Nothobranchius furzeri: one gene and its partner. The protein of the gene in region 1 purifies or fractionates together with the protein of each later gene. This does not show direct contact. Links are inferred from orthologs where the notes say so. Each region holds a gene or a part of one and is shown in the gene's direction. Other genes may lie near its edges. The genes, in order: faua and rc3h1b.

Region 1 (3,735 bases):
CCTTAATTTGTTAACAGACTGCAAATGTTGTATACGCGTTTTGTATTTGGGTCACAAATGTGATCTTATTTCCTCAGGCTTGTGGCGGCATACGAGGAACAACAAAAGCTACAGAAAGAAAGCGAATCTTTGAAGAGGAAGGCTGAGAATGGTTATGACAGGTGTGTAGAGCCATCGCTCAGGTCACGCCGATCCACCAGTACCTGCGTAACACTCTGAAAGCAGGTTTTACTCAAGTATTTAACTACAAACTATGTGTAGGTTTTAAAGTAGCTAAAGCATTACCATTGGGGGGAGGGGCCCTAAATCATATTTGCTAATTTAAGCTTTCTTCTTTAGCTCTCAAGAAAGTGACGCCAAAAGACAGCGTGTGGACGACCCTTCAGCTGTTGCGGCAAACGCCATGACAGACATGCAGGCAAACAGCTCTGCGTACAACTACAACTGGTACCAGGTAGGGTTGTCTTCTAACCACATCCTTACGTTGTGTTTAACAAACTCACGATCACCAGAGCCATGAGGCATTAACTTACTTGCTTTGTTTTGTCTTTAGCAACAGTACGGTGGCTGGGGACAGAATTCCTGGGGACAGTACAACCAGTATGCCCAGTACAACCAATACTACCCTCCCCCTCCTACATGATGAACAAGCTTTTTACATGAAGATGGAAGTGGGATCTTTTCTGACCTTAAATCTTGGAGCAAGCAAATTTATCAAGAGATTTCAGTTGAACTACGCTGTGGAGTTTTTCTAGTTCTACTTCCTGGCTTACAGTTGACGTGTTGCAGCATTCTTTTGTTAGATGATATTTGGCCTTCCATGGTAACGATGTTCATCTCATTTTGTGGAGGAACGTAACTGCTAAATTAATCATCTCTGCACTGTTTAAGTTGAAGGTTTTGTTTTTCCTATGCATGACATACGAGAGACCTACATTGGATTATTTTGACCTGTTTGTGTTTCCGTTTAAAGCTTGTAAGGAACACAGTTAATTGTTGTGGTCAAGTTTCCAAATGAACATTTTTAGTATTTCATGCTTGTTTCCATTGGGAGCAATGAAGAATCCCTTTTTTAATTTTGACTTGATTTCTTAATAAAGAGTGGTATCCTCATGTCTCGTTTTGTTTTATGTGGTTGGTTCAAAGTATCAGAAGTAAAAAGCTGGTGAGCTAACACACACACACACACACACACCTTGACCAAAAATTGATGTAATCTTTAGTCATAATGTAGCTGCTTCTAAATTACTAAAGCATTCACCACAGATGTAAAGAAAACAAGTTTTAGACGAAGTCAAATAGAAAAATAATCGAACATGAAAGTCTGCTGGAGCTAGCACACAGGGTATCATGTAGTCAATACGTAATACGTGATTAAAGAGTTTGTTTCCCTCCTAAAGCAGGGGATAGATTAGGCGTAATCAGTGTGTGAATGGATGAGTGACACACAGTAGTGTAAAGCGTTTTGGAGTCCTTACTCTGAGAGGTGCTATACAAGCGGGGGTCATTTATCATTTATTAAAAAGCGTCAAGTCGTCACCATCACTTCCGCCGAGCGTTACGCAAATCTGCACATGCGCAGTGTCGCTCCGCAGACGGTCCTTTTTATGCTTAGCGTGGAACGACTAGCATCAAACGAGGTAGGAACCGTATAGTTTTAGTCAAAAATCATCATTAAACCAACCTCAAGACAGTCTAAGTTTTCAAATACACTACTTTTATCTTTAGGCTGTATGTGATGTGTTTAAACATTCGACTTAATAGTGTATTTTAAGTATTTTGTGCGGTTTTTCTTAAAACGCATGTCCTCATGAGGCTAGTTGAGCTAGCGTTGAGTATACCGGGAACTCGTCCACCCTCTGCTTCCTTGTGTTTGAGGCTTTTTAACATCTACCTAACGTCTGGTTTGGATTTGTTTATGAGTCTAAGGTTAAATGTTTGTATTTTAAAAGATTATGAAACAAAACCATCGAATTTCCGCAGCTAACGACAGTGGCAGACATCTTGGTTTGTGTAGGAAAGCTGTAGCTAATTCTGAGAGAAGAACGCACATTGATGTGGAGTTTGTGTGAAGCCTGTGGTTGTGTGTCAGCTCATCTACCTGTCTAACATCTGGGTATTTTATCTATGCCGTCCTTTTGCACCTGTTAGCAGCAGCAGAGCTAACTGAAAACGTTTCCTTGCAGCCTCAGGATGCAGCTCTTTTTGCGTGCCCAGAATACTCACACCCTTGAGGTGACCGGACAGGAGACTGTTGGCCAGATTAAGGTAGGATGCTGGCCTCTGTTATATTATTTCCAACACACTCTGCTGTTATAATCATTTTAAGATGCTCAAAGCAGGAATTGCTCTAATAATATCTGGGTTTTGGTGTTTTCCAGGCCCATGTCCAGACTCTGGAAGGACTCCATGTGGAGGATCAGGTCCTGCTGCTTGCTGGGTGCCCACTGGAGGACAACGCCTCCCTGGCATCTTGTGGTGTGTCCGAGCATTGTACCCTGGAGGTTGCCGGCAGGCTGCTTGGAGGTTAGTACATAGATGCAAAGTGAATGTATACATGTGAGAGTATGCCATTAGCAAACGTGACAAATAGATAATGAATCAAACTCAAGTTTGTAGGTTATCAGTTTGACAAGGTAGTGAGTGGTAAACTGCTGATTGTACATATAAACAGCATCATATGAATAGTTATTTATTTTTGAAGACCTATAGTTTAATCATGCTCTCTTTCAGGTAAGGTGCACGGTTCACTTGCCCGTGCTGGAAAAGTGAGAGGCCAGACTCCCAAAGTAAGGAATTTTACATCTTTAACTCCATTAAAGCATTTATAGTTAAGGAATTGTCCAAAATGGGTGTATAAAGAAACATTTAGTTGTTTTCCCTCACAGTTTGAGTCAGTTATTAAAAATGTAATTTATAAAAAGTCATTAACTGGTACAATCCTAAATATCTGCGTTTTTTTTCCATCCAGGTCGACAAACAGGAGAAGAAAAAAAAGAAGACTGGCCGTGCCAAGCGCCGTATCCAGTACAACAGGCGCTTCGTGAATGTCGTGCCCACCTTCGGAAAGAAGAAGGGTCCAAATGCAAACTCCTAATCAGCAACCCGGAGGAGAAACGACAAACGCCATCTGTCATCTTTTACCAAGTTAATGTTTATTTCTGTACAGAATAAAGAAGTTTAACTTGGCTTCAACGCGTTGTGTCGTGGTACTAGATTATAATAAATGTAGAAAAGCTTGGTGCTTTTATTTCATAGCATCTTTAATGTACAAGTTCAATGAAACAGCTAAATGTGAAAATTAAAATGAAGTAATTAAGTCTTTTGTACAAACTAAGAACTTTATTTTGTACACGGAAACATTACAATCATTCTGGTTTAAACAAATGACATGTGACTAGATAAAGGCAAAGTGGACTGTTTAAGTGCAGTCCAAACGACATTTCAACATAGGGATCCAAAAGCTGCATATGGAGAGCAATGCTGGTGGACTGTTTAATCCACAGACACCAGCTCAACCTCAAAAATCAGCTTTGCATTAGGAGGGATTCTGGTGGAGCTGGAATTAAGGAAAATGTGTTAACAGGAAGTCAAACTATAACCTTCACAAAAATATAATTTACCACAGTCAAGATGTTCAATATTATCCAGCACCTTAAACTAGAGAAAAAACACCTAAACGTAAACAACTCATTTATGACTATTATGATCAAAACCCTATTTCCTGCTTATTTT
Region 2 (4,455 bases), on another chromosome or scaffold:
CGAGCCAGCCGTTTCTCTGTCATCTTCGCTCCGGTAATCCTTTCAAAAATCAGTGGGATTAACAAAAATAAAAAAAATGCATACAGAAATGTTTGCTTTAATTTCGTCCTTCTTCCTTGCCACACGAACGAACTCCACGCTTCTGTTGCGTAAGAGCTTCTGCAAACTGTCCATCCAAATGCAACCGGATGAAATAAAAGTAGTAATTCTGTCTCGTGGGTTACCTTGATGACGAGACAGAGCCCGGTTTTGAAAATGAAAAACAGATTTTGTGTGCTGTCACCTGATTCTTACTTGTCGATATGGCTGAGCCCTCCCTCTGTCTCCTTTTATCCTATTCGCCCCCGCTCCTCCTCCTCCCTGCGCCCTCCAACGGGAATCGTGACGGAATAAACATTATAACAGCCCGGGAAAATTAAAAAAGGAAACCCCCCCTTGAAACGTGTGTTTACTCAGTCGTGGTTGCCATTTATTTAATTGTCTGTTTATTTGTGATTATGTTATTCCTTCTTTTGACATTTTGCTTCCAGATTAAAAAATAATAATTTCACAATTTTTTTTATCTGTTGGATCTGGGTCTGGTGTGTGTGTCATTTGAGCAATATTGTATCTGTTAATTTTCTATTATGAGATTTTGACATCATGAAAAAAATACATCAGTTTTTTTTTATCAGAAACCGTTACCGTGGTGTCATTTTCATTCTCTGCGTCGTTTCATGTTTCTTTTGACTCACATTTGAGTGTTTTTGCTGTCGTTTTCACCAGACTTAAGAGATCGTTTGGTTTTGGCTGTGCATGCGGCTTATCGCCGATAGGGGGCGTTCAACGAACGCAGGTAAACGTGTGCTCGCCATGGTGCTCGCACACGCGCAGCCCTGAACGGTGTCGTGCTGAAAAAGAAAACCCTCGTCGCAGGACAAAATTTTCAAGGCACATGTTTTCTTCCTTACAGCAAATCATGGATGTAATTTTGGGGGAGGACAGGGGGGACATGTCCCCCCCACTTTTTCCAAAGCCAAGTTTTGACCCCTGCACTTTTTACCATCCAAAAGCAATATTACATTATATTAAATTGACACTGGTTGAGCTCTAGGACCAAGTAGAAACGTTTGTGTTGAAGCCTGTTTCCCATTAGAACATACTGTAAAGATCCCCCCCCCCCCCCGTGTCCCCCCCACATCTAAAGTGAAAATTACGTCCATGCAGCAAATTAAAAAGAAAAAAACGTAAAAAAAACATATTTCACACGTACACAAGTTGCAAACCTTATAAATATAGTAAATATTTAACGCAGTGATGATACCAAACAGAGTGGATAGTGGGTCCAACGCTGGCAGCCTATCCCTACTGAATGGTGATATTCGCTTTTCCTTTGTTTCTGAGGGTCCATTCTTATAAATAACAACGATTGCATAATAAGTTAAATGAAAATTTCAGTCCTGTTCATTTGCTTTCATTTTTATCTATTTTATGTGCGAATAAAGCCATCTAGAAATTCGCTTCGCGTAACTGGTTCCTTTTTACGGAAGGGTTGCATTTTTTGTCACAACACCAACCTTCAAGCTAGTCTGTCTTCGAATTGACAACCCCCTCCCCTAAGAGCAGCGAAGCTGCGCAGTCGACATGGCAGGAAAATATCGCAACAGTTTTGTAAAGAAAGATGAGATACTTCCAATTCATTTGGAATAAGTGAGTATTATCGACAAAATGTCGTCGGTATCATATCGGAAACTGATAGAAGCGCTGCATGATTAGTTAAAGTCACACGGACGCATAGCGATGGTTATTTGCTGTTAACATGGAGGAGCAACATTTGTTCATTAGCCAGCTAGCTGTCTCACTAGAAAAGCGTTCGAGTCAGCCGCTTTGGCCAAGACTATTTCTGTAGTTACCAAGTGTCGCCATTTAGTTAGTGGATCTTGTTAATATACATTTTTGGTAATATATCTACTTGTTAGTTTGAGATACTAGCGTTACATAATTATACAAGTCGAATGTTTTATTCGGTCTCTACTAGGTATCATTTCCTTGTATATTTATACACGAGTGGCAGCTGATGTTTTTGATATTGTAATAGCTGCACATGTGTGATTAGCGTTAGAAAAACTACTACATAATAGCGAAGAAACATCTGGTTCGAGATTGTTGTGAAGCGAATGTTTTTCATCCAACTACGTTTTGTTAGCTACGATTGTCAGCTAGCCACCCATAGCTTAGATTGCTAAAGTGAGCTAACGCATCGCCTAATATTACTATTTATATTGTCTTAAGTGGATCATTGTAGCACTTTATGCAAAGTTAACAATATATTCTGTTTATATTCAACTAAGTTTTCTCGAAGTAGAGTGTATCTTAACTATGTTAGCTTCATTGCGTTTGATAGCAGTGACTTGTAAGTTAGCTTCTTTCTGTACCCTTTGTCCAGAGAGGCTACAAGCTTCTTTAAGTAGGCCACACAGCTGTTGTTGTCGTTTGTTCAGTAGGCCTTGTTTTTAAATCATATTGTGTTTATTTACTGATATTTTAGTTGTTATTGCGAGTGTAAAATGGAAATTGCAGAAAAGAAGTCGACACAAAAGCATTAGCTGTCGACTTTGCCACCCTCTAGGTTAGAGCATTTTTGCTAGATGCATATATAGCCATCATGGTAATATTTTGATGGTTCATGTCGGCACATACAAAGATTACTAACGATTGTAAAGAAGCATTTGGCTCTTATTCAAAACAAGTTATTTCAAGAAATGTTTTTACAACTTTGATTCATTTTTTTCTTCTTTTACAGTATTCATCACGAGATGTGATCCAACATCCACAATGTGTGAGGACATTTAAGAACAATTAAGTTCGGAAAACAATCTCGATTCCAGTGGAATCTTCCATACATCTATATCTATATATAATTATTATATTTTTCTTTGTGTTAACTCCTAAATATACACGCACCCAACCCACCAACATATAATCATGCCAGTGCAAGCGCCACAATGGACAGAGTTTCTGCTGTGCCCAATCTGCACGCAGACGTTTGAGGAGACTGTTCGCCGGCCCATCAGTTTGGGCTGTGGACATACTGTCTGCAAGATGTGCCTGAACAAGTTGCACCGTAAGGCCTGTCCTTTTGACCAGACGGCCATCAGCACTGACATTGAGCAGTTACCTGTCAACACAGCCCTGTTGCAGCTGGTGGGAGGCCAGGTAAGACCAGAGTTCGTGTGTATTTGACATTTAATTACCATACAAGTGTAGTGATAGAAGCTTAGATAACCTGTGCACAGATCAGGTTATTTCCTTGTTATGTTTTGTTGTTTCCTTTTTGAGGTGCTTGTCATTTGTAGTCTGGTGCATGAGCTTTTTATATGGCTTTATGAGTTGCACGAGAGTTATTAAGCGGCTGCTTGAAATTAGTTTTACCGAGTGCTTCCTTCATAAGTAACTGTATTTCTTTTAGGTAATATTTGACCTGCAGGGCGAGTCCCAGTTGATGTTATTACCACAGTTTCCAGGTTTAGACTTAGTAGTAATGGAAAAGATCAGTGCATTGGCAATGAAGCTGAACCGTTCAATCGTTAGTAACGTAATGTTTTAACATGTTTTTACCTCCTTGATGAAAATAATATGCCAGGGGAGAAATCTTAAAATAATACCACTTTTTTTTAACTTTTTGTTTATGTCAAAATGTATGCTTTAAATTTAAGTCATTTTTATTATTTTAATTATTAGGTAGTTGTATTATCATCACTGTTCAGGAACACTGCAAGTTATAACTAAACCAATATCCAGGAAGTACCAGCAGTTGAGCAGATGCTGCTGCAGAAGTAAATGTTGGAAGATTTGGGAGACAGAAGACTCTGCGTGGTGGTTGTACTTTTAGTCCGAAAGTTTAGACATGGCTTCCTCAAAAGTGCTGGTCCTGTGGAGATAGGATTAACAGCACACCTTGTGTGCTTTGTCAGATTTCTCAATCCTGCGAGCATTCATTTCACCCAGAGGGAAACTCACAGCATGTGATCCTTTTGCACCAAGGGCAACAGAGCATCCTTCTGCACCCTGTGCCTGAAGGCCTTTAGTTAATAGTTATTTAGTGCATCATCAGCACTGATATAAGGAATGCATTCATGAGTCTAAGTCGGAGATGATGCCCACCAGCTTGTATGGTTGCTAATTAATAATCCACACTCTGCCAACATGGTGGACTGTGTTTAATAATAAACACCTCTCTGCATGAGGCATTCCCTCTTTTTTCTAATCCTGTGGAATATTGTTAATTTAAAAAAGCAAATCCTCTATTGTTTTAACAGCTATATGTGTGTATATAAGAAGTAAACAAGTGTTAAAGTATACTACATTTAGACCAATGGAAAACCATTTTTGTTTTTGAACAAAAAATTGTAATTTAGCATAAAATTGTGTTTGCATAACACTTCAAATACATTTTAAGTTTTATTATGATTAATG

Evidence for each region.
Region 2: the proteins of faua (region 1) and rc3h1b purify together in Homo sapiens (affinity purification with mass spectrometry; 3 studies listed by BioGRID, with this or other methods). This does not show direct contact. The link is inferred for Nothobranchius furzeri from reciprocal best matches to the Homo sapiens genes FAU and RC3H1.

Annotation. Positions count from the first base shown.
Region 1 is NC_091742.1:23,793,529-23,797,263, forward strand, and holds faua (FAU ubiquitin like and ribosomal protein S30 fusion a), read left to right. Parts: upstream 1-1,530; 5' UTR 1,531-1,640; intron 1,641-2,186; 5' UTR 2,187-2,193; coding exon 2,194-2,268; intron 2,269-2,381; coding exon 2,382-2,526; intron 2,527-2,733; coding exon 2,734-2,789; intron 2,790-2,971; coding exon 2,972-3,097; 3' UTR 3,098-3,195; downstream 3,196-3,735. Other genes in the region: prpf39 (pre-mRNA-processing factor 39), read left to right, coding at 78-161, 340-454, 554-643; peptidyl-prolyl cis-trans isomerase FKBP3, read right to left, coding at 3,496-3,550.
Region 2 is NC_091751.1:54,521,820-54,526,274, forward strand, and holds the start of rc3h1b (roquin-1), read left to right. Parts: upstream 1-1,531; 5' UTR 1,532-1,689; intron 1,690-2,782; 5' UTR 2,783-2,964; coding exon 2,965-3,195; intron 3,196-4,455. UniProt on the Homo sapiens protein: Post-transcriptional repressor of mRNAs containing a conserved stem loop motif, called constitutive decay element (CDE), which is often located in the 3'-UTR, as in HMGXB3, ICOS, IER3, NFKBID, NFKBIZ, PPP1R10, TNF, TNFRSF4 and in many more mRNAs.